3 linked regions of the Astyanax mexicanus genome follow. The protein of the gene in region 2 binds, or shares a complex with, the protein of the main gene of each other region. Links are inferred from orthologs where the notes say so. Each region holds a gene or a part of one and is shown on either strand. Other genes may lie near its edges. The genes, in order: fdx2, nfs1 and LYR motif-containing protein 4.

Region 1 (11,139 bases), on a different chromosome or scaffold from region 2:
AGAGAGAGAGAGAGAGAGAAAGAAAATAAGCAGAAATTTGAGATAAAAAGAAAAGGGAGAGAGAGAGAGCACACACACACATTCTTTTTGTTAACATTGCTCCAGATTATGTAATAATGAAAGCCGTATCTATCAGGGTTAAAGAGCGATAAAACATCTGTGAAACATAACACTAGATTTATGATTAAATCAGATGTTATTATTTTTATCATAATAGACAAAGAGCTCAGCACTCATCTGTAAGTGCAGAGAAATCAGATTATGTTTATAGAGAATAAATAATAATTATGTAATAAAAAATAATTATGTGATATTTACAAAAAAAAATAAAATGCACAGGGTTTCATACTGTTAAAATGAATAAAAAATATAAAAAAAGCAGAACATTTACTGTTTTATTATTGTATTTTTATATATCCATTATACTACTGGATTAGCTGTCTTTATTGTGCATTTTCTACTAGGTTTTGGAGCATTGTTGTGAGATTAGATTGAATTCAGTTGTTAGAGCATAAGAATGCTGGAGGATCACCACCTCAACTCATCCCAAAATTACTAGACATGGTGCCAGTAGCTAAATTTTTATCTGCTTCAAAGAGTCATATTGTATGGGCAGTATTGCTCTACAGGCACTGTATAAGATGTGTGTGTATTAAGGAGTACTAAACAGTTTTAATTATATGGTTTTATTGTTTTTATTACATGGTTTTATGGTTTTAATCAGCTGGTGAAGATCCTGAGTGCTGGGAAAGTTCTGACCTAATTTGCACTTTACACTTTGCCTATCAAAACCCGTCAGCCCCGACTCGTCAGGTTACAGTGGTGAGAGAACTCAGGTAGGTGGAGATGAAGAGCCCGCTGTGGGCAGGAACTGTATCAGGCTGTCTGTGTTTGTGTGTGATGAAGAAGCTGTGTAGTCTGGCTGAAGTCTGAGAGAGCTGGTTAACACGTGGTCAGCAGATGAACGGCTCTTAGCTGCTGTAATTCTTGCTCCCTGCATGAAGACAGCTTTGCTCTGATGGTGCTCCTCCGCACCCTCGCAGTCTTTACCACTGAGATCCTGCTGTTTATCTCTCTACTGAGACTGAGATCTTTTATCTAAACCTAAATCTGAAGCGTGTTCTCACCTTGACTCTTTGACTTGTCAAGAAGTCAGAGCAGTGATCCAAAAAAAAATTCTACTGTAGATGTGCTACTGTACCGCATGCTAGTCATTGTGTAGAATGTATACTAACTTTCACTAATAATAAAAAATATTTCTGCCAGTGAATGCAGCCTCTGTTTAGGTGCTCTACATCAGTGGTTTTCAAGCTGCAGGCCAATGTTTTGGTCAAGATTTGAGGATTAAAATCATTAAAAAAAATAAATAAATGAAATGATTGTATCAACTGTAGCTGTGTTGTTGATATAATAATATTAATATACTTTGAGTGTAAAAGAATATGTAACATTAATAGAATTCAATAAATGGGAGCAAAAATCAGACAATAATCCCTTTGGAAAAATAATAACACTGAAAAATGAATTGAACAAACTTTAATAAACAGATCCACAAAAAGAGCAGGAAAAGAGAGTCCATAAACTTCAAAATTACTGAGTTTAAAGATAAAATGGTAAATTAAAAATTAAAATCAGATTTAGTTATTGAAGCTTAAATAATGCTATATAATCCATGATATTGTTGTTTAACTGTGCTTTTTGTTTCTGATTACTTGTTAATTTAAATAATTTAATTCTTTTTTTAATTAAATTTTATAAATCTGTCAACATAATCCATTAAAAGCAGTGAACAGATCTAACTCTGTTTGATACAGGCTGGCTGATCTGATTTTACTCTTTTTTTGGGCAGAATAAAAAATAAAAAAATAAACAATGAAATGATTTAAATTAAACAGTTAATCAGTTATAAAAAGCACAATTAAATATTTATAACATATTGATAAAAACATATGATAAAATAATATGGGGGCAAAGGCAAAAGACAAAACACAAGGTGCACAGACAGAAAACAATAAACAGAATAAATGTAAATGTACAGGTATATATAAGCCAAATGTCTCTGATTCTTATACTGGCCTATTTGTTCTGCTTCCAGCACATCAACTTCAAAACAGTGACTGTTTCTTCACTTGTTGTCTTATTCCTTCACAGGTGCCACTGAAACCAGATCATCAAAGATATAAACCAAGATACTACAAGGACTTTGTTAAAAAACTCAAAATGTTCTAAACCCACTTTGGTTTGTGCATTTTCACAACAATTCCACAAATGATACCACTGCACATCACACATCACTTCACACTTCAGACACATTACACATGTGGCTTTCTGTTCCGGCTGGATTGTCGTTCTCAAGTGTGATCTTATCAAAATACCAGAGTGGAAACATGAACTAAACAGACCTACTAAAATAAACTACAGGTGTTTTCCAAAGATAATTAGAAACACATTACGTATCACATTACTTCCCACTAGTAGTTCTAATTTTGAATTAAGTTGTTTTAAATTGCAGTATATGTACATATACATTTATGCTTTTAAATTACTGTAATGATGCTATTTAATCATGTTATTCAAATGCTATATAAATAAAATTGAATTGAATTATCATGCATGCCCATATTTCAGTGTTTATTTTTCTGCCTGATTTAAAGATTAGAAACACATTACTATATTACTTTCAACTATTAGTTCTTTTTATGAATTCAGTTGTTTTTGTTATATGTTTAGTTTATGCTTTCAAATATTTTAAAGATCTTATCATATATATGCCCATTTTTATTTATGTGTATTATTATAATATATAACACAGCAGTTATTTTTTATATTTTGTAAAAGTTCATGGTGAATATAGAAGCTAGAAATGTCTGAAAATGGCTTTTAGCTTAAAAATCATTTTACAGTAACTTACAGGAACATGTTTATATATACTTTACATAAGACTGAATTTGTATATAATAAAGTTTTTTTATTTTTTACTTAGTTTCTTTAACTCACTGGAGTGAACAAATTAAATAAGGCTTTTTACAAGACTTTCTACTTTTCATATTTTCTACATGTTTTTTTATTCAATAAATAAATAGAATAATTGTGATATACTTTAGAAGTAGTTAGCAAAACATGGGATTTGAAATTCGATCAAAAAGTCAAATTATTATGTCACTTTTTGGAAATTTTTTTGGAAGTCAGAATGTGTGAAGCTCTTCTGAGAATAATATTGTATGACTGATGTACAGAACTGGAAAAGGAAAGTGGTGGTTGATAACAGATGTGTCACTGCATGATTTCCACTTGATTACACTTGTTCGCCTATGGCACAGAATGAGAAGCTCAGCATATTTTTGTGATGACAGTCAAATCACACATAATATATATTAGCCTAAATGGTAAATATTAACACAATAGTTATTAAATAAAGTAGAAGACCTGTGCATTTAGGCCTATTTTAATCCAGAAAATATTTTTTAAGCATTCTATTGTAAATGTGGCAAATATATATATATATATATATATATATATATATATATATATATATATATATATATATATATATATATATATATATATATATATATATATATAAATAATAATGTATTTGACTTTGTTTAAGTTGAAAAATGTTCAACAAACCTATTTAATGCTTTTACCAACAGAGAAACCGGTCGTTTTTATGGGAGGACATGACTTGTAGCTGTGACATATAGAGATTTTCTTACCTTTATATAAATAAATGATGACGAGGTGAAGCGACATTCTAAACCGATTGGCCAGCCTTCTGCTTTCTGAACGTTTGATTTCTACTGTACATACTCAGCAATGTGGTTCTGAAGAAGACAGAAAAATTGAGAAAAATAAAGCAATAGGTAGCTTTAGGGCTGGATGATATTGCAAAAATCTATATCACAATATATTTCTTAATTTCGGTCGATATGATACAAATGATTCAAATATTGATATGACCAGCATGAAAGCCACCACCCTTGGTTTACATAATTACACACTGCTAGAGCTGCATGATCTGGTTAAAAATATTATCACATGAAGAAACAATGTTGCAAATTCTAAACATGTAACATATATCAAACATATATTTTTAAATTTTATTGGAAAATGATTTCAGTTTGGATTTTGCCAGTCTTTTCTTTATTTGTTTTTAAATTTTTGTGTATTTTGGACAGAGGCTTTTCAGGGGGGCAATCAGATTTCAGCTGGGGCCAATGCCCTTGTGGCCCCACCACTAGAGCCTCCAGTGCCTCGATATGCTTATAAGAGGTTCTATCACAATACAATAAAATAATGATATATTGCTTGCTAGGTAGAATAGCCAGCATGCTAACCAGTCACACCAGTGTTTGTTTAACTGTAGTTTTTTTTTTTTTTCAGGTGAGTGGACAATGAAGAGAAGATATGGTAAAGGATGGCATTAGCTAGTATTAGCTTTTAGCTTAGCTCCACATTGGCTTTCACGTCTTGGCGAACCAATTCTGGAGGTGATAGGCTTCTCTCCAGTATCAACAACATTATGTACTGGCAAAGTTTTCATCTCATTTTACTGTTTTGAGTACTCTACTGCTTTGAGTAGAGTTTTCTGTAGTATGTTGGGTTTACGTAAATATTGGGGGTGTAAATATAATGATTCAAGACTGCTATGTAACATTGTTTGAGCTTTCATTTCCCAAATGTTTAGTATTCAAATATGTCAAAATAAATACTGTTTGACATTCTATGAGCTCCGTTAAGGTTAAAGTTAAGTGTTAAAGTGTTAGCTTTAGTATTGCGACATAAAGGCCAGAGGAAGGCTTTGTTTAAGTTGGTTGTGTAAAGACAAAAGAACTTGTTGTGATCTCTTTCAGGAAGCCAGCATGCAGACACAATGCTCTACTATAGGGTGCACAGGAGATGGCTAGCCAGATTAGAAAGCCTATGTGCAAATGTTATTTGCATCCGAGAGTTTACCAGCTGACCTGTGTGTTATTTAGGCAGATGAGCAGGTAAAGAGGGTTCTATTATGGCTGGTAACTACATGGCAGTGATTGGGATGCTGTATATCATCACATCTGTCGTGTTATTTACAATACTGTGTGTAAAAAGAGGAAAAATACTCATCTTCTGGTCATGACTTTGACACATTTCTCTTAGCAGTTTACCTTGAGTAACCCTTTACATGCGTATCATTTGTCCTATAGCGCCCTCATGCGGCCAAATTACACAACGACCATTGTAGGGTGGTTAAGGACCCACCAACACTGAAACTTAGTTAAATAGGAGATCTTATCTTTATTAAACTCATCAATCATTAATTACAGATCTGTAGCAATAGTGGAGATCATTTTATTCCTCTTTTTCTCCCTCAACAAGTTTTCAGTGGTCTACCAGTTTGTTCTAAACTTCTGTTACTTGATATTTTATCCTTAATCTTTCTCATTTAACGTTTTACCTAAAAAAAAAAAAACTTAATATATAAAATTAAAAAAAAGAAAATAATCATAATAATTCTAACCCCATTTCCTTCTTCCCCTCCTTCACTTCTCTATCCCTTTATTTCCCTTCGACCTCCTTTGAGCCCTATCTAAAATGGTTTATCTTAATTCCTATTACTTTTGTACTTCATTATTGTAAGTCGCTTTGGACAAAAGCGTCTGCCAAATGCAATGTAATGTAATGCAATGTAATGTCTTAATAGTCATTCTGACCAAAAATGACAGTGAATTTAGAATAAAATAAAAATAATAAATTAATACCAAATATTAATAATGACCTTAAAATAAAAACAGAGCTGAACTTGTGTTTAATAAACCTGCACACCGACGAGAGCTACGTCACTCCTCCGTCTTCTTTTCTGATTGGCTACTGCGGACCATGTGACGACAGCAGTGTCATGGCGGCCGCCGCTGCGGTCCGTGCTCTGAGTGTGCGGCTCGGTAAAGTGGCCCCGGACTGCAGCGTCTGTCCGTTTTACCGCCTCAACATGTGCAGCGGAGCCGTGCTGGGTCCCACCAGAGGGAGACGAGCCATGGAGCTCTACTCAGCCCCCAACAGAAAGCTGCAGACCTCCATTAGTGAGTGTATCCGAGCTCCCAAAGTCAAACCGCGGGTTTTATAACATCAGAGAACTTAGGGTGTCTGAACTGAGCTCTAACTAACACGCTGATACTGAATTATTATCGTTTTTATTTGTGTTTATTCTAGTTTAGCACCTTCAATTACTGTCTGGTGTTACTGAGTTTCAGAAATATGTTACAGGTTGAGTTTGATGGCTGTTATTTACGTCTAAATTCCTAATTCAAAAGTATCCAAACGCTTCATTACCCTTCAGACAGCTTGAATAATCTTGATGATTAGACTCACATAAGTCTAAAGTCATTGTGCTGAATTCCAGGCTTGGTAGAGGGACCTAGAGGAGTTGTGGAGCATTGGAACTGCATTCTCTGGTCTGATAAAGCTCCATCCTCTAACGTTACTCTTGGAATGAGTTAGAGTTCATTCAAATTCAGTACCTGAATGCCATCAGATCCTCACAGCAAAGTTCTGTCAGAAAAGTGGAGGCTGTACCTCCAGCCACGCGAGTATTGAGGAAAAACTCCTCATTAATGACGTTGTTTTTACAAAGGTTTCAAAAGTATTTACATTTATTACTCAGGTAGAAAAGGATACTAAGGTGTAAATACTTCCGTAGAAGTTGAAGTATCAACTCAAGCTTTTTACTCAAGAAAAAAATTGGATGCACTAGGCTCCCTGTTTCAGATGTGTATATGCTAATTGAAAATGAGTGTATTCTAATACAATGCAAATACAGCACTGAAAAAAATGAGACCATTTAAAAATATGAGTTTCTTTAATTTTATCAATTTGAAAACCTCTGGGATATATTCAAGAGGAAGATGGATGATCACAAGCCATCAAACCAAGCTGAACTGCTTGAATTTTTGCACCAGAAGTGGCATAAAGTTATCCAAAAGCAGTGTGTAATACTGGTGGAGAAGAACATGCCAAGATGCAAAAAAAAAAAAAAAAAACAAAGACAGGGTTATTCCACCAAATATTGATTTCTGAACTCTTAAAACTTATTAAATATGAGCTTGTTTTCTTTGCATTATTTGAGGTCTTTTTTATTATTTCAGCCATTTCTCAATTTCTACAAATATATTTTATAAATGTCAAAAAAAAATTATTTGGAATTTTGGAGAAATGATGTGCGTAGTTTATAGAATAAAGCAACAATGTTAATTTTACTCAAACATTTTAAAATCGTCTGAAATATAATTACTCCAGTGAAGACAAATTCTAAACAAAAAAATCGACTTAAGTAAGTTAAAGGAGTATTTGTACTTTGCTACTTCCCATTTAGTTTTTTTTTTTTTTTTTTTTTAAGGAATATTTTTGGTTTTGGTTACTACTTGTAACAGGCTGTACTTGCAGGCATTACTCAGCAGCTTGGTCTTTAGTTGGTCAAGTTAAACTTGTTTTGGACTGTCAGGGAAATCTCATTACAAGAGCTTTGCTAAGAGAGCAGGAAAAGTCCAGTCCAGTGCAGTTAAGCAGATGAGTGTCTTTGTTAGACTCATTGCAGAGGTTCTCACTAAACTGTTCACTGTGGTTTATTATTTCAGATCTACGTCAGAGTGAGGAGGGCAGCTCGAACGTGGAGGACACCGATGAGGATGTGTATGTTACTTATGTTACCCTCCCTTTAACTTTATATTAGGTTTCCTATGTACATGTCCACCAGATCTATGGTTGCTGAGGAGCGAAAACCTTGTGTTTATCCAAAAATGGAAATATTAGAGGGATGGTAGAACTCTGGACTTTAAACATATAAGTGTAAAATGATTTTATTCCATTGAAAGCGTTTTTTATTGGTTAAATTAGCATGCAGTAGTGACACAGTTTAAATATTTTCCCTAAGTGAAAAACTGCAAAAATGGAGATGCAAGGTTTTTGACACTTTGATGTGCTCCCCAAACAAATAACTATTCGCATGCATCAAAATTCCCATGACATGTAATATTTAATGTTTATTCAGCATTTATTCATTTATTTTGAACAAATATTTGTATTTACTTATTTTGTTTTTTTTTTGTATTATTTACTTACCTATGTTCTTTTCTACCCCACGTCTCTTGTTGTAGTGTTAACGTGGTGTTCATTGATCGGTCTGGACAGAAGATTCCGGTAAAGGGTAAAGTTGGAGACAATGTCTTGTATCTTGCGCAAAGACAAGGCATTGAACTTGAAGGTAAGTTCTTGTTTATACCGGTCTTAAACTGGAGATTGTTACATAATAACATATGTGTGCTCGGGAATAGAATTGCATTGAACCTTCCAAAGACAATACACTTAATGTTTAAGGGTCCTGAGAAATCCTAGACATAACTTGCCAACTGTTTCACAGATTTTACAAAGTGTGTTTTTTTTTTCCTGTTTTGTTGTAAATTACACCTGTTTTTGCCAAAAGTATAGTGATGTGAGTCAATGTTTCTGTAGGACCCTGGCATCCGAGAATCAGAACATTTTTAACATACGTAATTGATCTGTGATCAGTTTTGCATGTGAACTATTCATAATTATTCATACTCTATTCCAAACCATAATATTGTGTAACCTTAGTATATTAACATACCATCAGACATGCTGTATTGTAGGATCCTGCTCTTAGTGGCAGCCAGTAAAGCATAGAAGACCTTTTAATGTTATTGTCCATATCTGTCCCTACTGAAAGTATTACCTACTTTGTGTGCAGCATTTGGTGTTGTGTAATTAGTATTATTATTAACTAATCAGGATTATTAACTTGTTAATTTGCTTTGTTTTCAGGGGCCTGTGAGGCATCCTTGGCCTGCTCTACGTGTCATGTTTATGTACATGAGGAGTATTTTGATAAACTACCAGACCCTGAAGAAAGGTAACAATTCTAAAGTCCTAAAGACAGCTAAGAAGAACCAAATCAACCATTTGAGACAACACATATTAGACAATATAATTTATTTATGGAGGGAAATGATTTAATATTATATGTTTTGTGAGGGGCAGGTACACTAACCTAACTGACCTAACCTTGTACTTAAAGATTAGGTTAGTTGGTTTACCTTTAGTTAGTTTAGTTAATCGTTAGTCCTTACCACTAGTTTAGACCCCCCCACACTTCCACACTTTGGGGGAGAACACTTGCTACATAAATGGCTATAAATTAAATCCCTATATATATTGATTACCTAATTATTCTACCTAATTCTACCTAATTATAATTGGTGTGTCAGGTGTGATTTAGGATATTTTAGATGGTTTGTGAATACCCCCCCAGAACTGGTACTGTTATGTCTACTGTTGGCCTACATACGTTATAGACATGTATTCATAACTTCTCTTAAACCCTAAAGGGAGGATGACATGTTGGACATGGCCCCCATGCTGCAGGAGAACTCACGCCTGGGTTGCCAGATCATTTTGACCCCAGAGCTGGATGGCATGGAGCTTACTCTCCCCAAGGTCACACGAAACTTCTATGTGGATGGTCATGTGCCCAAACCACACTGATATGGATGGATTGACAAAAGAGGGCAATGGACAGGGGTGAAGGTGAATGTGGGAGGAGTCTTTTCACTAGAAGACTGAGAGTCTCCCTTTTATAAAGGTGTGAAGAGCGCTGTGGAGAACCTGCACTAAAGTCTCGATCTGATTTAGTATTTTTTCCCTCCACGAGTGCGTTAAAAGAGTCCATACTCATAGGGTAGTGTCTCCTCAATGAGCACTATCTGATTTTAAATGAAAAGTACACTTGACCTAATTTCCAGCGATGTGTGGTCAGGAATACTCTCTAGTATCTACTGATGAAAGGCTCTGAAGGTCTAATGCTTTACAGGAAGTAGACTATGTGATGTCTTTTGCTCAGCTGGAATGTGGGGACTTAACTGGGAAGTTCTAGAGTCAGAGTTCCATTCTAGAATTGTAAACGCTTTGGTCTAGAGCCCTACAGTTCCAGACGTGTCAGCCTTTGTGAAGGAGACATTCCATGTTACGCACAGCGGTCAGACGCACAATTCTGTTTCAGGACAATCATTCATATGTGTAAAGGTAAACTAGAGGCTGTGTAAGATAAATTAACCATTGCACACCCATTTAGATTTTGAATGTTTCATTTCATGTAAGCACACACAGTATGTATGAGTTTCAACATATATTCAGATCATTTTTTCTAGATGTTTAAAGAAAGCAGAACGAAAGTATTGTTTGGTGTCATTATTTGCTTATGGGTATCGTTGTTCTGATGTCTGGGGGTTCTAATGTTTTATCTACATTTCTACACTATTCAAAACTAATGGTCTGTTATTAAGAAACTTAATGGCTTGGATTTCTTTAGAGTGCTGCTGATGAGAACGAGAGCATTGTGATGTTTACAACCAGATAAAGCCGTTTTATTTGATATTTAAAATGGCCAATGATCCTAAATCAGGGATGTGAAACCAAGGGCCACAGTTCACTGGCAACAATAGAAAACTGAATACTGATCTCCAACCCCCCAAATTGTATACCTACTGTCAGAATAATTACATAAACTAAAAAAAAAAATAGTTGGCATAGTTGTAAGGTAAATAAGGTAAACTCACCTTATTGAAAACACTGCTAATAACCTGTGGGAAGATAAGATGTGTTTGGAGCAGGGAAACTGGCAACCTGCTGAAATTCCCAGGTTACGTTTAGACTGCAGGCAAATCAGATTTGTTTCTTAATCGGATTTTAGGAGATGACTGTTCACAATATTATTTCCAAATGATCATCAGACCTGTATATCTGGACACCACAAACAGATCTGCGTGGGTTGCTGTCATATTGAAGTCAGAGTAACTAACCTTTGGTGATCTTCTAGGACCCCGATATTTGTCACTTTAAATTTGATGAGGTAATTGATTATTGCAATTGTGACACATCGGTCACACATTTGTACAAATCTTTTGTAGTCACATTTCACACCACCTCCAATTATTTCTGGCAGTTCACACTATCAAATCAGTCAGGACACAGTCTAGAAATGCCACGAATTGGATTTGGGCCGGCAGTTAGAACACAGCCTTCATTCTCCAACCCTGTTATAGAATGAAAAATCTCTTCAGATGTTTGGCTTCATTCACCACCACTGTAAAT
Region 2 (10,550 bases):
TGATGTAATTGAAGAATGTAACAAACATGGCGGTGTCATTCATATATATGTAGACAAGAAATCTGCAGAGGTATGTACTCATGATTTTTTTTGAGGGAGTTTAACCAGAGACTGGAAGTCAAAAGTGCTATTAGATTCTGGGCAGTTTAATTTAATAGCAATTTCTAACATGAAGTCTCTTTGTTTCTAGGGGAATGTATATGTGAAGTGTCCGACAATCCCTGCTGCAATGGCAGCGGTTAGTGCATTACATGGCCGTTGGTTTGGAGGTATGTGTTATCTTTGTCTTTCTTTATGTATAGTAGGGTGATCTGTACTGAGCCCCAAAAAATCTTTCAGCTCTAAAAGCAGACCTGCAAACATGTACACATTTTGTGTAATGGGCATGCGCTTTGACCACCTAGTACACTTGTACTTTGTCACTCTGGCCAGTTAGCAAGGATGCTAACCCAGCAAGCTACCTATTAAGCCATTCACTACTTTCATCCATGCTTCGATTTTTGTCCAAATTGGCAACACTCAGTCGCTGTGCTGTAGATTCTCAGGTGCTCTTTCTCTCTCTCTTGTGCTCTTGTTCTCTTTATAGCTCTCCCTCTGTTTCTCAATCCTGGCCCTGTCACCTCCCATACCCTGCACATTTTCCAGAATGCCTCTGCTTTACTCAGCCCTGCCACTCTAAAAGCTCTTATTAATGAGCTGATTAGTTGATCAGGTGTGTTGGGAGCAGAAATCATTTTTGTGTGCAGTTAAGGGGGGTTGCCAGGATCAGGATTGAGAAGCACTTTTATATAAAGACAGTTAGTGCAGAAACTCTTGAATTAAAAGCCTTCTAAAACACGCAGCTGTAAAGGATGTCTAATATGATGTGAAGTGTCCCAATTTAGATTTTGACACCTTAAACATTAAACTATCCTATTACTCACTATTTGGCTATACCTCACTATACCTGCTCAGTTTGCGTGTTTGTCAGCATCACATACTTTTGTAATGAACTCCTTCTGAAAGAATGAAAGAGGAAGAACAGTATATGGGGGATGACAGGGTTGTTTATAATACACAGTAGAGAGCTTTCCAAATACACTGGTTATTGTGTTAATAGTTTAAAATTTGAGATAATGAGTAAAAGAAAACTTACCATTATTCACTTTAGTAGGAATAAAAAAGGTATCAGTGGTTAATAGTATTATGAATATTTGAAGCAGAACAAGGACAAGCATTAAAAGTGTTAGCAATAATAAGTATTTGCAGAATGATGAACATGTACAAAAATGGATGTCTGCCATGCTGCATCCACAAAGTCTGCATTGTGGTGCTCAGGCACGGTGCAAGGCAGCTGGACCTGGTGGAAGTGAACTTCTAAAACAATGACGGTAAAAAAAGACAAGTCTGTACTTACATTATCTGGCAGTCTGATTTATAATTCTCATTTTATGTTTGTTTTCTCAGGTAAAATGATCAAAGCTGCATACGTCCCTCTGCCAACATACCACAATCTCTTCCCTGAGTCGGTGCAAGCAACACAACTCCTCATGCCAATTCGCCGGTGATCCTTTCCCTCATCCCTGGAGCTATTTTTATTTTCAGCCTTTCTCTTTTTAACTCTTTGGGTAAAATATTCATATTCCAGTCCTGCAAGCTATGACAGTTTCTTTTCGAACTGGAGTTCAAGAGGTTTAAGTTTCATCTTAATGTGCCCATATGTTTTTTGGGCATCAGAGAAAGGAGTTGTGGTTGGTTTGTTTGTACAGTTTTTTTTTTTGTTTGTTTTTGGGGGGTTGGTCGGGGTTCAGAGGGGGCTTTTGAACTTTGTTGATACAGGTTTCAAATTTTGTTTTCCTCAACATATATTGTCTTTGTGATTGATCAATCATTGTGGTGATTGATTGGCATGAGTTCCACTTAAGGAAATGTACAGTTAGCCTCTCAAAACTAAAATGTTGAGTCTTTTTGAATGAATTGAAAATCCTGCAGATTGGCTAAATATCTACAAAATCTGTGTTTTGGGCTCTGTGAGCTGTGGGAACTAAGTAGGTGATGAGAGCCTGTATGTTCGTAGAGACTGGTTTCAAAGCATCTTGTTTTTCTAATGCAGATTTGATTTTGTAAAGTCCTTGAAAAGTTCATTTCAAATAAAGCCATGATGCTGAAAAAAGTGTGAGGTGTTTGCAACCTGTTTAGTTAAAATCTAGCAATCTTGAGAAACGAAGAGTGCTTTCTGTTTTAAAAGAAAACATAAGTGTAAAGAGAGTTGCGGGATAAGAAGAGAATGTCGTCTCTACTTTCAAGAGAGAGTATGTGAAATCAGCTGGACATGTTTTAGAGCAGTGATGAGGTTCCAAAATACTTGTTACTGCTTTTCCTTACTGCTCTCCAACTTTGCCTTACAACATTAACTTGTTAATGTGTTCAGCTAATCTGTAAACTTTAACACATTAACTTTGCCTTTTATTTATGTTAAAGTTTTGCTCTCTTTCACACACTTGTTTAGTCATGCAAACAATCTCTGTTAACACACACAGCTGATGACATGTTTCCTTTTTTAAGATGTTGAAGGTGGAACATGGATCTACACCAGCGTTTATTTTCTTCAATAAAACCCTCAGTTAAACTTAGTAACTCGGTGCATTACAATATTCTGGTTTAAAAAGCATCAAAACTACCCTGAGATGTAATACAGCAAATCTACCCTGAGATGAAATAATTCAGAAAAAAGGATATTTTCTGCCAGGTGTAAATCACACTACACTATTATTACTGCCCCTTCCCAAAAATACAGTTAAAAAACAGCAATTAAACAATGTAGTCATAACTTTATTCATGATACCAGTAATACAAATCGAAGTGTTTCTAACACTGATTCTTTACTTCACGTTTAAATACCCATTATCAAAAACCTAGACTTTTGATAATAAAGAAAAAAGGTTGGAATAATCATGATTTACACAATTTTGTGAATCACATAATTCTACAGTGATTTAAATGTATGATTTTAAATCGATTGACACCTTGTGTATATATTTGTTTTGTTTACTACAGAAAATAATACAAATGAAATACTGAGTGTGGCATTTCCAAACCATTGTTCTGTATTGTAAATTAAAAACAGTTTTCCTCTTTCTTTATGTAAAGATCTAGATTATTATAAATTTGGGTAAAGAATGTGTTTGGGGTGCTGTATATTTGAAATTTGAAATTCCAGCTAGGTCTTGTGTAAGGCTCAGTAACTTTCCCCACATGTCTGGGTTTGCCTGATCCAAAGCTTGAACTGCCACAGCAAGGCGGATCAGAGGAGTGGCACAGTTTTCATTCTCTAAATCCGACAGAGCCCTACTTTTCTCTCCTGTAGCAGCCTGTGCATCTGCCTCAAGTGTGAGGTAGACAGTCCAAACACACTGCCACACTTGACCCATGTTTCAGTTCTATTTTTAACACTAACTTCTGCTAACTGCTTTGACCTTGGACCTGCTTCATAGCTAGCTTCAGTGTGCTAATCAGTAAGACCTGCTTACTTTGCAGTCTATAATGATTAATGAGAAATTTAAATATATATATATATATATATGGAAACTTGTGATGTTAAGGTTTGTACACTGAACATAGTGGCCTAGATATGAGTTTGTAAACCATGTTGACTCAGTTGTTCATTAATTTATTGCTAAAAAGTATAATTGATAATTGGCCTGTTTTGATTACAGAAAGTTTTTGAGTCAGGTACATGTATTGTAATTCCATGGTTTTACTGTACAAAGATAAACACCCTTTATGATCACATTTAAAGAAAAATGGGTGAAATACAGTACCAGTCAAAAGTTTGGACACATTGACTCATTCAATGTTTCTCTTTTCTTATTTCCTTCATTCTAAATGAATACTGAAGTTATTCATACTATGAAGGAACACATAAGAAATCAACTTAAACTTAAGGAACCTATCCTGTGCAACAGAGTTACTTTCTGCTCTTCCTTTCATGGGGCGGTCCTAATGAGAACCAGTTTCATCATAAAGTTTTTGATGATCTTTGCGATTGCACTAGAGGATACTTTTAAAGTTCTTGAAATTTTTCGGATTGACCTTCATTTGCTAAAGTATTTTTTCTTTACGTAGCTGAGTAGTTTTTGCTATAATATGGATTAGAATACAACTCAAATAGGACTATTCACTGTATATCAACTCTACCTCTTCACAACACAACAACTGATGCTCTCAAACACATTAAGAAGCAAAAAATGCAAGTAAATAACTCTTGACGAATTCAGCACAGCTGTTAACTGAAAGCGCATATTCTACCCCATAAAGATGACTGAGAAAATCCAGCCGACGTGCAAAGCTGTCATCTAAACAAGAGTGAATTTTGAAGATTTAAAAATATAAAACATATTCTGGTTTGTTTGATAATTTCATGTAGTTTACTTTATATTTTGGATAATGTTAATCAATCGATTTTACTGTGATTATTTGTTGTTAATTTTGTTGGGTCAAATATTTGGAAAAAATAAAATTAAAAAAAGTTTTCTTTTCCAACTTAACTCTTCTTGGTTCTTGTCTATGTACTGTTATTTGTTCTTGTCATCTATATGGTATGTCTGATGTTTGTCATTTATATGTTTGTCCCAATAGTAATAATACTACTACTACTACTACTAATAATAATAATAATAATAATAATAATAATGATTATTATTATTATTATTATTATTTTTATTATTATTATTATTATTATTATTATTATTATTACCATTATATTCTTAGAATATTTGAAAGGCACTTATTGTCATTTTATTGTCATTGTTATTATTATTTGTATTATTATTATTTTTTTTATTATTATCAATATATTTTAGAATATTTGAAAGGGATTTTATATATTATTATTATTATTATTTGTATTATTATAATAATACATTTTTAGAATATTTTAGATACACTTTGTAAATATGTTTAATTATTATTATTATTATTATTATTATTGTTGTTATTATTATTATTATTATTATTTAATGTTTTATTGAGGAACTGGCAACACAGCAAATGAATAATACAAAAAAACTGATAGTAAAGGTTAACATGTTGGAAAAAAGTATATTTACTAAGACTACCAGATCCCTCAGAAAGTTGTTATAAACCCACATTATAAACCCACGTATTATTATTATTATTATTATTTGAATTGCTGTGTGCGACCTCCTGGTTAGATAAACACAAAAACATATTAACAATTTGTTCATCAAAATCGGAAATTCTTTTGACTGATATTTCAGATTTCCTGCGGAGAAGTCCCGCCTCGAACCAATTACATTTCGTTCACCTTTTAAATCCCGCCTACACTGTAAACATTTGTCCAATCAGGTACTCGGCTGATCATCGCCCCGCCCCTCAGAGGTCAGCAGCGTGTTGTGTAAGCGCCGCTGTGTGTGAGTGAGGTTGGTGGTGTGGTGGTTCGTCCCTCAGTACCGGAGCGGTGTGGATTAGAGCCGCTGTTACCGCGGGGTTCAGCCCCTTCCTGCTGCGGGAGATTACTGATACGGGGTTATTTATCGCTCCGCGGAGCAGTTCAGTACTTTTACTAGAGGAATAAACCGGTGTTTTGAAAAGATGATGAGCAGGAGCGTCACGAGGAAGCTTCTGGGCTCCATACGCGGCGTTTCTACCAGCGCCCGCCTGAACTGCCCGGGGGCTCCAGCCTCCGCTCCGGCCGCGCAGAGAGGCAGAGGTTGGTGACCTGGCGAGGCCAGTTAGTTATTTATCCAAAGAGCTAGTTATGAAGTTCTTAATTATTATAAAATCCTCCCAGTAGCTTTAAGCTCTCTCTCTGTCCTCATGACGCACTTCAGCTAAGTTACTCCGCGAGCCTCAGTTGGAGTTAGTTAACTAACTTAGGTTAGCCACCTTGCTAACTAATGAAATCCTGAGCTTAAATCGCTAGCCTAAGTTAGTTAGCCTCGTTAGCCTAGCTCAGTAACGGTCACTGTAGCCAATTAGGTTAGGTAACTAATGTCACCGTCAGTTAACTAGCCTAGCTTGCTAGCTAAATTAGCTTAGCTTCTGCGTTTGTTTTTATTTAACCTGGCTAAGATAAGTGTTCTACACCATTGTCAGCTGTTTTAGCTCAGTCTAAACTAAACCCAGTCCTAGTGTTAACTAAACTTAGTCTTAATAGTAACTAAATTCAGTTTTAAGGTTACCTTAATTCCGTCCTAATTAGTGCTGCAGCTATCGATTATTTTAGTAATCGAGTAACTTAGTTACTCCATTTGATTAATTAAGTTATCGGATAAAACATAGTTGCTTGCTTAAAGAGCAATTAAAAATACACGCGAAAACTAGACATTTCACTTGATAATGAATGACTAATTGGTTTCCTTGTTTAGATAAGTTTTATATTTTTAAATTCACTACATAAGTTACATTTCCAATAAAAAAAACACAAATAAATAAATAAGTAAAGCAAGTAAAAAAAAGAAATTTAATTACATTACTTTCAACTTTGAATGTATTGTATTAAGTATCAGATATAGGTTATTAATCAATTAAGAAGGCGTAAACATTGGCTTTATGTTGTGCATCGAAGTTTTTGAACAGCAGGGACTTTGCCAGTTCTGCCAGTGTTGTTGTCAGTGGATTCTCCTTCTTGGACAGAAATGTTGCTAACTTAACTCAGTACTAGCGTTAACCAAACTCTGTTCTAACTAAACTCGGACCTAGCTAAACTCAGTCCTGTCGTTATCTAAACTCAGTCCTAACTAAACTCAGTACTTAACTCAGTACCTAGTAAACTCAGTCCTAGCGTTAACTAAACTCAGTCCTAGCGTTAACTAAACTCAGTCCTAGCGTTAACTAAACTCAGTCCTAGCGTTAACTAAACTCAGTTCTAACTAAACTCCGTTCTAACTAAACTCGGACCTAGCTAAACTCAGTCCTTTCGTTATCTAAATTCAGTTCTAACTAAACTTAGGCTAAACTCAGTCCTAGGGTTGCCTAAACCCAGGCCTAACTAAACTCTGGCCTAGGGTTGACTAAACTCAGGCCTGACTAAACTCAGTCCTAGGGTTGCCTAAACCAAGGCCTAACTAATCTCAGGCCTAAGTTTGACTAAACTCAGGTTTAACTAATCTCAGGCCTAAGGTCGCCTAAACGCAGGCTTAACTAAACTCAGGCCTAACTAAACTCAGCCTCAACAAACTCCGCCCTAGGGTTGTCTCAACTCAGGCCTAACTAAACTCATGCTTAAGTAAACTCAAGCCTAGGCTTAACTGAACTCAGGCCTAAGGTTGACTAAACTCAGGCTTAACTAAACTCAGGCATAACTAAACTCAACCTTAGGTTTAACTAAACTCAGACCTCAGGTTGACTAAACTCTGGCCTAACTAAACTCAAGCTTAAGTCAACTCAAGCCTAGGTTTACCTAAACTCAGGCCAAACTAAACTCAACCCTAGGCCTAACTAAATTCAGGCGTAACTAAACTCAGGCCTAGTGTTACCTAAACTCAGGCTTAACTATACTCAGGCTTAAGATTGACTAAACTCAGGCCTAATTAAACTCAGTTCTAAGGTTGACTAATGATTGTTATATTTTGTGTAACCGATAATGTTCTAGTTCCTGGTTTTTGCTTATTTAGGAGTATTTTATCATATTCTGCTGTATCAGAATATCTGATGTTTGGTCAACCACTCTCTTTTTCTCCACAGAGCTGATTAAGAGTAGAGAGCTGGAGAAAGATGAGCTTCGGCCGCTCTATATGGACTTCCAGGCAACAACACCAATGGTAATTTAATCATATGTCCAGATCTTTATGTCACGCTTTTACAGCTAATATACAAAGTTAGTTGTGATAAAGTCTTAGTGTGTCCTCACACTCAGCAATCCTTGCCGTGCCAAGGAGCGGTTACCTCCCAAACTACGGCTCGATTGACTAGTGTGATCATTCTAAACCGTGCCCAGGCAGGGAACGCTTCACTTGAACTTGAGCATGGTATGCATGCAGTATGAACAAGATGCGACGTTCCTGTAAACAAACTTCAGGAAAAGCACCCTCTCTCGGGAGCGTGGGCTATGTTGCTATGTATGTAACCATGACTGAGATAACCTTGACTTTGACTAGGTAAGTTTAAGCTGTCTATCTCCACATTTATCAAGAAGACGCACTCCAAAGAGAGGGTGCTTTACATGGAGGGGGTGCTGATTTTGACACAACACCGACTTAAAGGTGTTCGTTTTAGTTATGGCTATGGTTAGGGTTGAGGCTGTAAAATTGAATAAACCACGTCCTTAAAACTATGTTTAAAGAATCTAGTAGAAAGTCTTCTCTGGACAAGAGAGACAGTTACTCAAACAAAAGCAGGATAAACTAATTTAATAACTAATTTCAGTAAAAACAATAAAGGAGTAAGACTTTATTTGCCTGTACAGGATCCTCGAGTTCTGGACGCCATGCTTCCCTACCAAGTGAACTACTACGGCAATCCGCACTCGAGGACACACGCTTACGGCTGGGAAAGCGAGACTGCAATGGAAAAAGCGAGAAAAGTAAGATTGTTGTGTTCTTTCCTCCATCAGAATGAATGTTTGTCTTGGCCGCTCCTGCAAATAATTGTGCAAAGAGTTACGTCTTTGTCTCGGCGTCACATGATGTTCTGGAATAATGGCTACGATTTACTTGCAGAATCCAAAACAAAATATTTGGGTTAAGACAAAAATGCATTGTTTATGTGAATGCCAGTGTTTATTTCCACTTCCAGCAAGTAGCTGATCTTATTGGGGCCGATCCACGAGAGATTGTGTTCACCAGCGGCGCCACAGAGTCCAACAATATGTCAATCAAAGTAAGTATTTCTGTGCTTGCTAGCAAGAACAGAAGCATAGTATTAGATATGCTTAGACTACTATGAGAAACTATTTTAGGTTTGGGATTTAGCATTTTGTGTTAGCTTACATATTTTTTTAATGATCTCCAGGGTGTGGCACGGTTCTATAAGGCGAGGAAGAAGCATGTCATCACCACACAGACGGAGCACAAGTGTGTGCTGGACTCCTGTCGTGTTCTGGAATCTGAGGGCTTTGATGTAACATACTTGCCTGTTAAAAGCAATGGATTAATTGATCTACAGGTACGATTCATTGCCTGTCAAAAGTAGGACCTGAAACTAGGAGTGTAATAATACAGAAATTCTCGGTTCGGTTCACATCTTGGTATTATCCCACGGTTCGGTAGAAGAAATAAAGAGGCTGGGCTAGGCCTGGATAATAATTCGATATCGGTATTTATCGCGATAAGAAATGTTGATATCAGTTTTGTGGCATATCGATATGTATTATTTACAGAATCTGTCACGGACAGGCGTTTTTTTACTGGCGTCAGCTCGCCGCAGAGCTGAACACATTCAGCCCCCGTAGCTGGGCTACGTCAGTGCGTGATGATGTAACCACACAGGCACGTAGCCAGCTAGGCTAGGCAAGGCTAGGTTAAAATGGCTAGGCTCGAGTCCGCTTCGCTATGCAGCTAAAATGTCTCACGCTGGGCCTTCTGTATAGCTTCTCGCTTGTGTTTTTTTTTTTTTTTTTGGGATGTGATGATGTAACAGGGCTTGAGCACTTTTATTAAATATTTAAAACCAGGGTTCTCTATCACTGCATAAGGGAGCATAGCCAAAGAAGTGAACATGTCACTTGCTAAAGTATAATAGCTCGGGACCTGTCTGATTTCACATCTAGAAGCTGCTTAGAAGCAGTGGGGATAAGTAGTTGGGTTGAAGTTAGAAGTTAACTTCTCAGGACAGGCTAAGCTAAGTCAGTAGCGAGTTGCTAATAGCAACAGTGCTACAGCTACACTTTCTGGGTGCAACACTCCTGTGGTTCAACAATTCTCCTATAAACTGCCTGCGTCCATCTATTCTCCATGCGTCTGCACAAAACGAACCGTGACCCCCATACCGTGGCGGTTCCTAAAGAATGCATGTACCGTTACACCCCTACTAGAAACATACTTCATGCAAGGAGCCTAACATAGCAGCCGTTTTGAGATACATGTTTGTAAAATCAAATCATGTTTATCTAGCGCTTTTTACAACTGATGATTGTTATAAAGCAGATTTACAGAAATGTCGTAGCAGAAAAAAAAAAAAAAGTATATTCTGGTGACAGCAGCGGAAGCAGTTAGAAAATTGATAGTTTATGTAAACTTTGATGTAATTGGTAGTCTTGAATCAGCAACTAGTCCTCATTTGGAGATACCGTTATGTCTTAATACTTTTATGCTGTAAACTGTATTACCACTATATCACCTGACTCTAATGTCAAAGTCAGGAAAACATTTCCACATTGTCAATTTTCATATTGTTCCATTTTCCCACAATTTTTCAGCAACTCGTGGAAACGATACGTCCAGATACCAGCCTGGTTTCGGTGATGACTGTCAACAACGAGATCGGAGTCAAACAGCCAATTAAAGAGATTGGTAATCCTCCTTAACTGTCAACTGCACATAATGACTATCACTAAAATCCACAAAACCCAGAGCACTACAGTACGCTGACTCTCCTGTTCTCTGTTATAG
Region 3 (10,756 bases), on a different chromosome or scaffold from region 2:
ATATTGTATACGATATAATATTGCCCACCCCTATTGTGTACGATACGATATGGCACACCCCTCTAGTAGAGAAAAGAACAGATATCAGCAAATCTTTTCATAATTGCCTATACTACATAAAACCACACAAGCGCACTGGACTGACTGATGGACCTTTCCTAAAGCTGCATTCATTCAACAATGTTCAGATTCAAGCCTCTAATTTGTAATATTATTAAATACAACAACCAATTTAGACCCATTAGGCCCTCTGATGCACCTAGTTTACAGCTACTAAAATATCTTCATTATTTACACAGAATGGACCCTTTTTCCACATTGTTAGCAGCCCCGGTCCAGACTAAATATGAGTGGACTGCATTTTTATAATGAAATTCTGGAGCAGGCTCCCACAGCTGATCCTCAGGTCCCTGTTACACAGTATTCACTATGTGTTATGTCTGCTACGGCCACTCACTGAAATTCACCTCAAATGGGTCTAAATATGACCAGCACTGAAGGCTGCTTCCTATCTGCCAGCCACAGCAGGCTGTTTCAGCAGCTGTCAAAACACCAAAACAAGGTTATGTCACGACACAACTGCACTACACACAATAATAAAGCCTAATCACCCTCTCCAACTGGCTATTTTCTAAGCCACGGGCTGTACTGACACCTCCCTGCTCTGCATGTTAGTCTCTCCTCCGAAAGCAGTGCTGATTATCTGTCCTCCTCTGGAGGATCTCTAAGAAAAGCTCTGAGTGTGAATTCTCACACTGAAGCAAAGTTCAGACTGAGGCTGAGCTCTAATTAAGTGTTTTCCGTCGGATTAGCCATTTACTCCACTGCTCAAAAGTTTGGGATCACTCGTCATTTGAATAATATGTTATTTTCTATTTAAAAATGAAGAATACAGTTAATATTTCAACAATGCTTTGAGCTACACTCATATGTAGGTGTTTTCAATATCTGTTTCTGTAAAGAAAATAAATTTAAGAGTAAGATATTACAAAATAAGAAACGAAACACAACAATTATGTATTTAGGGTTACACAATATATTTTACATATTACACACATATATATATATATATATATATATATATATATATATATATATATATATATATATATATATATATATATTTCAGAATAAAATAAATATCATAAAATACATAAATATCCATATTGTGATAATAGCCATATTCTGCAGTCTATTTCAGCAGTTTACTCTTATATTGCTTTGCTATTTAATGTGAAGCTTTAATGTTTGTAGTTATATATGCACACACTAAATAGCTTGCACTTATTGTATTGTGGTAAGTCTTTATGTTACATTATATTACATAATTTATTTTGATACACTTTATTATTGTTATTGTTATTATTATTGTTATTATTATTGTTGTTTTTATTATTATTATTATTATTATTATTATTATTATTATTATTATTCTTAATCAGTATTATTTTGTTACATTAGTATATTCATAAAAATAAATGTTCGGTTTAATTGCCAAGAACACCGAAAAAATGTATGTTTAAGGGCCTCGTTTGAATGTGTTGAGGCAGGCTGCATGCGCAGAAGGTTTTCGTTTCAGGGTTTAGAAAACTGTTATTCAAGATTGTCTAAAACATGCAGGCAGGTACAACATAAGCTCTTATCTAGGTCAAGAAACAAGCAATAAGTTATACACAGGAAATAAACAAGAATAATGCCATTCTTGCATTATTACCTCTTTTATAACCTTTGATTTTCTTACCTATGATTTTATGATTCTTACTAAATTATTTTTATCTTATTTATTTCATATCTTATTAAAGTGCTAGGTCTTTTTATTTATTTATTCTTTTTCTTTGACAATCACTTCCCTATGTATTGGCTCAGCTACATTGTAAATGAGGGCCACCCTCAATGTACTTTAAATAAAGGTTGATTGATTGATTAATTGATTGATTGATTGCGGTATAATGGTAATACTGTATAGCACAGTACTAAAACATTTTAACAAGGATGGTTCATACATATCACTCATGAATAACTGATATATCACATATGCTCTATGTCTCGCTACTACAGGCCAAAATACTTAATTCATTCTTGTGCATTTAAGATTGACCCAGAAAGGGGGCACCCACTAAATTTTATGTAGCTCTCTGAAAAGAGGTGGTGGTGGTGGGGGGGGGGGGGTATATATATTAAAAAACGAAGAAAAAAAAACAAAAACAAAGTCCACCTAAGTTGTTATACACTCAGGCAAAGAAATATGAAATGTGTGCCTCAAATCTCTCTGAAGATGGGTTAATCTAGTAGCTAAAGTTATCTAGATAAAAAGCTAATTTCTATATTTGCTCCGTCCAGTCGCTCAATCATCATTCTCATCTAAACAGTTTACTATAAGTAGAGTTTCAGACAGACAGATTGGAGTGTGTTCTGTAAGCTTGCTGGTTTAACATTTACTGTATGTGTTCAATTGGTCTGTAAACAAACTAAACTTTGTATTTTATTTTTTATTTTTTTTTCAGTTTAAAAAGAATCCAAAATTGGATGGTATTGTGGCCAAGTAAACACAGGACTTGGGCAGTTTAAGCAAATCCCTGTTGCTAGTATATAAAAATGAATCTGCCCACCCCCCAGCAGTAAGTCTATTTTTTGGTAAGTCTAAAAAAAAAAACTGGACCAAGCCACCACAATGTATTTTACAGCAGAACCTTTAAATCCGTTGTGGGGTGTGACCTTCATGGATGCAATGACCCTGTTGCCATATCACCACAGCATAATAAAAAATAAACATGTACAGACTGAATATAAGGACACTAATAAAGCTGTTACAATCTAATGCAGCTATATGCTATAGTTTTGTAACTGCTTTACTGAAACAGGTGTGTCCCCCTTTCCCACTTTTGGGAAAAACAAAACACAGCAGCCCATCTCTCACTGTAAGAAAGAGAGGCCACCTGATGAACTTCATGAACTGTTATTTTAATCTGGTCTGCATACAGCCCTCAGACTGTCAATGATACAATGGTACAAAATAAAGCTGTAAGAGTGAAATGCAGCCTAAATACAGGCACAGCTCTTAATCTAGCCCTACACATCGAATCACCTAAAACCAGTAGTACAGGGAAGAATTTATTTAATTAAACACCAGCAAAATAACAATACTAAACACACCTCAAAACCCACAATAAAAGCATGACCCAGGCATTTATTAATAGATGTGGTACCGTCTTTTGAAAATGGAATCCAGTTGGCTTCGAATTCTAACTCTGTTTCACCCTAAACAGTTACATTAAGTGCGGTCAAGGTTATATTATCTTAACATGTGATTAACTTGGAAACATTAAAGTGTTTTTTTAACACAAATATATATATATATATATATATATTTTTTAAACAACTTTGGCCTCAACTTTAACTACTAAATGGGTCAGGGTCTGGGCTGTTAAGGCCCCCTGGCTAATGATCTGCTACTGTATGTGACCTCTGACTGATTCTTTATACGTTTAATTGTTTTCTTATAGATTTTAAAATTGCCCAACAAGAGTTGAAGATTTCTAAATGTACCAATAAATCACAGTGCTCATTAGAAAAACATAGAAAACATGTTTTAATCCTATTTACTGGAGTTTTCCCTTAACAAAAAGGGGATAAACTACAGTGAGTTCTGCTACTTATACGAGTACAGCTATTTTTAATACTACTGTTTCTTCTACTACTGCCAGTACAACTATTACTACTACTGCTAATAATACAAATATGTTTGCTACTTCTACTACTATTGCTAGTACTACTGCTACTACTTCTAATAGTACTACTGTTACTACTGCTAAAATACTGCTAATAATACAAATACTGCTGCTACTTATACTATTATTGCTAGTAATGGTAATACTACTGTCACTACTGCTAATAATACTGCTACTACTGCTAGTACTTCTAATAGTACTACTGTTACTTCTACTACCACTACTACTACTACTACTACTACTACTACTACTACAACAAATACTGCTTATAATACAAATATTGCTGCTACTTCTATTATTGCTAGTACTAATGCTAGTTCTACTGTCACTGCTGCTAATAATACTGCTACTACTGCTAGTACTTCTAATAGTACTACTGTTACTTATACTACTACTACTACTACTACTACTACAGCAAACACTTTTTTAAAATACAAATACTGCTGCTACTTCTACTATTATTGCTAGTACTAATGATAGTTCTACTGTTACTACTGCTAATAATACGGCTACACATACTGCTACCATTCTGTTAGTACTTCTATTACTAATATGAATACGACTGCTAATAATACTGCTACTACTTCTGCTAATACCACTACTGTATGGCTAATAATACTGCTAATACTACTGCTCCTACGTATGCTAGTACAACTGCTAGTGGTACAGTTTTTACCACTGCTAATGCTAATAATACTGATACTTATACTGCTAAACCTTCTTCTACTACTGCTAAACGTGTTATTTTAGTACACCAGTAAATAGAAATGGCCTTATGTTATGGTAAGGTGACGTTTTACCATTTATTACACAATCCTTAGTAGTTTTTGTTTGCATGGGTCCCCCAGAGCTAGGCTAGGCTTCTTCCTAAAGCTTGCCAGTTTGTTTTTTCCCTGTGCATATGTTTGTTTTTACAAACCAAAGCTGGTTTACAAAAAAAAAAAAACGGGCTGTAAAGAATTTATACAAATAAATGAACTTTCTCAATAGTTCTTTTTTTCCTGAAGGACTTTAAAGGAGTCTAGCTAATGAGCTTACACAATATACTTCTGACTGATTCGTGTACACTTATATGGGCTTTAAAGTTTCACAACAAGAGCTGGAGATTTCTAAAGGTACAAAGTAACCGAGAAATAAATAATAAACACAGAAAACACGTTTTAAAGCAAATTATTGGAGATTTATTTAACAGAAAGGGGATAACTACAGTGAGTTGTGTTGTCAGTGAAAAGAACCCAGACTCCCAACAGCTCTACAGTCTACACACCCACCTCACACAGCCCCCGCGCGCAGGGCAGGTGTGTGTGGTGGGGTATTAAGGGGGTAAATTGTGTAAATACCTGTAGTTATAGGAGGGGAAAGCCCTGCTCTCCTTCAGCAGACTCCGGTACAGAGACAGCACCTGCGCTCTACTGGACGCCGCCATCTTTCCCACAAAGGCGACTAAAACACTGCCTGAACAGAAAACCCGCCTTTATCGCCTCTCGCGCTCCGACTGCGGAGCAAATAAACAGTTTTATAGTTTAAACAGGCTGTAGAAATAAAGCGAATTCAGATATTAATCAGTGTACAGCGCTGAGCGCGGGGCGGGTGTGTATATTGATCAGGCTCGCGCGCAGGTGAGGCGTGTTTCTGACAGGCGGCGGGTCTGAGAGAGGTGAGTGGGACAGTCTGAGGGCTGCATGTTTATTAACTTAATACTGTTATTATTTATATTATTCACCTCCTCCTTCTTCTCTAAACTCACAGCTCATTTATACTGCGCGTTCAGAGCACAGCCCGGGTTCAGCTCCGTTCTCTGTGTGTTTATAGCTGTGTTTACTGTGTTTACTGTTTACAGACTGACTGATAAACTCCACTACTGTCACTGAGATATTATATATATATATATATATATATAGTTAGAGAGAGAGAGAGAGAGAGAGAGGGAAAGTGGGAGAGAGAGAGTGAGAGAGAGAGGGAGAAAGAAAGAGAGAGAGAGAGACAGAAAGATGCACACATAGAGAGAATGTGTGTGAGTAAGAGAGAGAGAGAGAGAGAAAGAGACACTTTTGACTTTTGGCACGCTTTATTTTACTATTAAAAATTTACATTACACAAAAAAAAAATAAAAAAGGGTCAAACTAAAATAAGTGGCTTTTCTATTTTTCTGTGTGCACAAGACCAAATAATCTTCATTAAAAAACTAAATCAATTTTCAATCTAATCTTTATCAGAGTTTTAAGCATGTCTCCAGCATCCTGAGAGCCACCCTCCTTCAATTTGTTCTTCCTAGACAGTCACACAGCAAGCTTAGCCTGGCCAGTATCTCTCTTTGTGAAGAGAGAGAGAAAGGGACACAGAGAGAAAGTGTGTGAGTGAGAGACAGAGTCTGAGCAAAAGAGAGACAGTTACTGAGAGCGAGAGACTGTGTGTGGGAGAGAGAGACTGCGAGAGAGAATGTGTGTGAAGGAGAGACAGAGTCTGACTGTGAGAGAGCGAGAGACTGTGTAGGAGCTGGAAAGACAGAGGTAGAGAGACTGAGCACGAGATTGACAGAGAGACTGAGAGAGAGACTGAGAGAGAGAGACAGATAGAGAGACTGAGAGTGTGTGTGTGAGAGAGACAGATAAAGAACCTGAGAAAGTGTGTGTGAGAGAGAGACACAGGGAGACTGAGATAGTGTGAGAGAGAGAGAGAGAGAGAGAGAGCATGAACATGTCGGCACGTGTTGAAGGAGTTTGTGAATGTGACTGTTTAGTGAATGTTTTCACTTCAGCATTATTAAAAAGCATTTTGCATTCAGCATTATTGAAATATATTGACATTGAAAGTATGTAAACATATGAATATTACCAGTTAAAAGTAGGATACACCTTAAATATGCTGTTTGTTTTTTCATTATTTAAAAAGTTGTATAAAACAATATCCTTTGTAGATTAATACTAAAATCATACGACTAGGGTTGCAACGGTATGAGATTTTCACGGTATGATAACCGTCTCAGAAAATACCGCGGTATCACGGTTATCACGGTATCACAGTTTGTTACATATATTATTAAACTGACCCTTAAAGAAATTACAACAAAGGTTTTTTGTTCAATTAACTATTTATTGTAGAAACCTGGAACAATTATAATTTTAATGTCTCCTTAAAAAAAAATAAGCTGTATACCATCAGGTGAAGGAAAAATTTTTTTTCCACTACTCTTAAGGGCATTAAGAGTGTATATAAAAAAAATATATATAAATATATATAATATATATACACACATACACACACGTTACACACATTACATGTCCTCTAAGAAGTAAAGATCCTGTGTTTAAACTATTCAGTACAATTATTTAAGTTTAAATTATTTAATATCTGATAAACTGAGCCTGGGTCAGTGTCTGATCAACAACTGTTGTAAACGTCCGTTTTACTGCCAAGTTGGTATATAACCAGATACTGCAGAAAGAGGGGATTTATTTCTGACATGATCCTCACAATAGAGATTTCTATTTTAAGGCTTTCACACCGAGTCTGGTTTTAACATTTGAAAAACAGGCACGTCAGAATTTGAAAATGAACGCATGTAAATGAATGGCGTCTTTCACATCCAGTCCGGCCAGGACCTTTACACGGACACGTGAATCCATCGTAGCACGCACTTCACGCCTGTACCTGCGTGCCCAAATTTCGGATAACTCAGCGCTTTTGCGGGCGCTTACTGCATGGGTTGTGCACGACTACAAAGAGGTTTTATTTAGGTTCAGATTAAAATTATAAGCTAAACACATACTTTGCGCTGCACAGCGGGGTGGTGTTCTCGGAGATGGGAGAACAGGTTTGACGTATGTCCACCTTTAGCTGTGACTTTACGGCCACATTGATTACAAATCGGATAACCATCCTGCGTTCGGCGGGTATCCGAAATAGTCCCACACTGCTGATTTTAGTTTAGCCTTTTTTTAGGCGGACGGAGATTTGTTTAGTCTGATGCACTTTCTGTTGTTCTCACCGCTGTGTGCTGAGCAGCTGAAGCGGAGCAGAGTTGCGCATGCGCGGGTGAGTTTCTCCGCTGGCTTGCGTTTTACCGGTAATAAGCAAACACACACGGTATGATAACCGTGCATTTTAATACCATGGTATACCGTGAAACCGGTTACCGCTGCAACCCTACATACGACCTATGGAGAAAAACACATGGATTTAAGTATTAAACAAACCAGAATATGTTTTATATTTTAGATTCTTCTAAGTAGCACGTCTTGGGTAGATGACAGCTTTGCATATCTTGGCTGAATTTTTTCAGTCAGCTTTATGAGGTAGAGTCACTTGGAATGGCTTTCAGTTAACAGCTGTACCTCGTCAGGAGTTAATTACTTAAATTTCTTGCCTCTTAATGTGTTTGACTGAAATCTGTTGTTCTTTGTTGAATACTGATGTGAAATAACTGGCTTACAGCTTGTTAATCTGCTGTGATTTGTGTTTTTGTAGCCTGTGTGTATGGACATTAGCAATAAACTCGGTTCTGAGCACAGTGTTTAGTGGTGCTGGGCAGTAATGTCTATTAATGGGGCCTTAAAAATGTCCACTAGGGCTGGACCCGAATATTCGGGTATTCGGATATTCGTTCGTTGAGTAGGTATTCGGTTTTTAATTTTGGTATTCGGATATTCGTTTTTTTTCTCCTTTCCAGAGTTCCACCTCACTCTAACCACTTCTGTTCTCGCGGGTCCCGTCAGAATATCTTGCGCGCGGGACAGAACTGAACTGTTATTGGCTGGAGCGGGAGTTTAATCCAGACGATGCGGGAGCAAATTAATAAATAGTTAAGAAAACTGTAATAATTGTAAAAAAAAAAAAAAAACCTAAAGAAAACTCTCAACGCGCAGGATGGACCGACACACACACGCACACACCGATGGTGTTTGGACTGGGGTAAGGAACGGGACCGCACTATTCAGCGCTGCTGTTTTAATAAATATATAAGTAAATTTGAAGCATTAAATGTAGTTTATTTAATTTATATTAGGAACGTGGGGCGGGAGCGGCAGAAATGTGTATGTGGCGGGCGGGCGCGGGATTAAAAGAAGCAATTTTTTTGCGGAGTGGTAACGAGACAGAAACGCGGGAGCATGGAAGAGTGGGTTTAAAAATCAGTCTCGCGCAGACCTCTATTATACATGATAAAAAAAAAATGCAGGCTCTTCGAAACTGATTTATATAATAAAACGTAAGGGGTAATGTGGCAACAGTAGGGGCTAAATCGGTTACAAAAGCCTGGCCTACAAAAATGATGTCTGAACGAATTTCCTCTTATCTAATATAATTTAAAATGGTTTAAAAATATAAAATAATTTCTAAGCAAACAAAATATTTAATATTGAGCTTATAGCCCAAGTGCAAAAATACAAAATCAGTAATACGGCTATGCCCTGCACAATCCTTAAACAGAAATAGACCAAGTACAATAACGTCATTAACAATGACTTTCCTCTACTCTAATATAATTTAACATGGTTTAAAAATATAAAATAATTTCTAAACAAACGAAATATTTAATATTGAGCTTATAGCCCAAGTGCAAAAATACAAAATCAGTAATATGCCCTGCACAATCCTTTAACCGAAATAGACCAAGTACAGTTTACAATGACTGTCCTCTAATATAATTAACAATGTTTAAGAATATAAAATACTTCCTGAACAAACGTTTTTTTTGTTTGTTTTTTTTAAGCAAATAACCTAAGTGTGAAAACACAAACAGCAATTTACTGGGCTGGCTTGCGCAGCGGAGAAACCGTGCAGCAGCAGCCTCCTAGCCTGCTTACGCAGCGGATAAGCCGCGTGTGGGGCAGCAGAAATTCCGGGATGAAAACACCAAGAAATCTGGGCTAAAAACACAGAAAAAATATGGGGTGAAAACACAAAAATCCGGGATAAAAACACCAAAAATCCGGGGTGAATATGTCTCGTTGGTCAGAGCAAATTGAACATTTTTCAGTGGATTAAAGGGGCCGTGATTTGCTTTTTTTAATTTTTTTTTTTACCTCTTTTTTTAAAAACGAATATTCGAATATTCGCGAATCAGTGCCGAATATCCGGAGCTCAAAAAACGCTATTCGGGCCAGCCCTAATGTCCACTAATGGTGTTCTGAACACTGTGTTTAAAGTAAAGACTAACTGGATTGGGATTTAAATAGGCAGTACCCAATCTATTAAAATATGGGATACTGGCACCTTTACCTGAAATGCTAATAGGCGTCCCTAGTAGGAATTTTACCAATTCTGCTAATTGATTACTGAAACAGACAGCTGAGAATAAGAATCAGTGTTAAGTAAAACAGGTGCTGTCAATTTGGACAAACATGTAGTTTGTATAATATAATTGCTCATTGTGGGAGGGTTGGATGTGCTTTTTCAGTCTGCACTGACTTTATTATATCTAATTTTCCCATCTATATATAAGAACGTTCACTCACCATCAGTTTCACAGTGATCAAATCGACTGTCGGACTCTCTTGTTGGTTTTGCGTCACATCCAAAGACCTCATGCAGTGTCACACAACTTCTAATTGATATCCCAGATGTCCTTGAATATCAATCAGTCTTGTTTGAGATGAGAGGTTGTTGGAGGGGTTTATTTTATTAATTTTTTCTTCCAAATTGGCTCCTCATCCAGCTCTGAATACTGATGTGTTTTAGCCACTGCTAGTTGGGAAACTTCTGGCAGCAGATGACTCATGTTAGGAGCAGCTGCAGGGATAAGACCAGCAAAATGCAGCAGACGCTGGACATATTTAAAACTCTGCTTGCAAAAATAAATCATAGACATCTGATGGTGTATAAAACGCATTGTGCCATCTCAAATAATACCCATGGTTTTAAAAGAGATGTTGGATGGTGTAATTCCCTATGCAGAGCTATTATATTATGATCAGCACAGACCTGAAGTGCACTGACGAGCTCTTAGTTAGATTTTTATAAGTTAAATAGACAAGGACAAACAACCTCAATGTACTGAAGCTATAGCCGTTTGACAACATAGGGTGAAA

What was found.
Region 1: the proteins of nfs1 (region 2) and fdx2 are in contact, whole or in part, in a cryo-EM structure (PDB 8RMC), measured with the Homo sapiens proteins. The link is inferred for Astyanax mexicanus from reciprocal best matches to the Homo sapiens genes NFS1 and FDX2. Residues at the interface, in NP_066923.3 of Homo sapiens: Gln153, Lys157, Leu160, Asp161, Arg164, Ala168, Tyr175, Ala384, Ser385, Leu386, Glu387, Pro388, Tyr390, Arg393, Gln456, His457; in NP_001384335.1 of Homo sapiens: Ala104, Cys105, Glu106, Ala110, Cys111, Pro141, Leu142, Ile169, Thr170, Arg171, Asn172, Phe173, Tyr174, Val175, Asp176, His178, Lys181.
Region 3: the proteins of nfs1 (region 2) and LYR motif-containing protein 4 are in contact, whole or in part, in a crystal structure (PDB 6W1D), measured with the Homo sapiens proteins. The link is inferred for Astyanax mexicanus from reciprocal best matches to the Homo sapiens genes NFS1 and LYRM4. Residues at the interface, in NP_066923.3 of Homo sapiens: Leu56, Arg57, Pro58, Leu59, Pro68, Leu69, Pro71, Arg72, Leu74, Asp75, Leu78, Glu314, Tyr317, Arg321, Asp372, Arg412, Phe413, Thr414, Thr415, Glu417, Glu418, Tyr421; in NP_065141.3 of Homo sapiens: Phe23, Tyr26, Asn27, Tyr28, Thr30, Tyr31, Arg34, Arg35, Asp38, Val65, Arg68, Gln69, Ile72, Thr78, Asp79, Lys80, Leu81, Ile82, Ile83, Asn85.

What each region holds. Positions count from the first base shown.
Region 1 is NC_064412.1:31,742,863-31,754,001, reverse strand, and holds the start of fdx2 (ferredoxin-2, mitochondrial), read left to right. Parts: upstream 1-5,850; 5' UTR 5,851-5,878; coding exon 5,879-6,059; intron 6,060-7,610; coding exon 7,611-7,665; intron 7,666-8,129; coding exon 8,130-8,236; intron 8,237-8,814; coding exon 8,815-8,902; intron 8,903-9,377; coding exon 9,378-9,534; 3' UTR 9,535-11,139. UniProt on the Homo sapiens protein: Electron donor, of the core iron-sulfur cluster (ISC) assembly complex, that acts to reduce the persulfide into sulfide during [2Fe-2S] clusters assembly on the scaffolding protein ISCU.
Region 2 is NC_064431.1:18,138,831-18,149,380, reverse strand, and holds the start of nfs1 (cysteine desulfurase, mitochondrial), read left to right. Parts: upstream 1-5,385; 5' UTR 5,386-5,592; coding exon 5,593-5,710; intron 5,711-7,686; coding exon 7,687-7,763; intron 7,764-8,407; coding exon 8,408-8,524; intron 8,525-8,736; coding exon 8,737-8,820; intron 8,821-8,952; coding exon 8,953-9,105; intron 9,106-10,357; coding exon 10,358-10,451; intron 10,452-10,550. Other genes in the region: rbm39a (RNA-binding protein 39a), read left to right, coding at 1-70, 191-269, 1,447-1,547.
Region 3 is NC_064413.1:47,013,615-47,024,370, reverse strand, and holds the start of LYR motif-containing protein 4, read right to left. Parts: upstream 5,266-10,756; 5' UTR 5,155-5,265; coding exon 5,069-5,154; intron 1-5,068.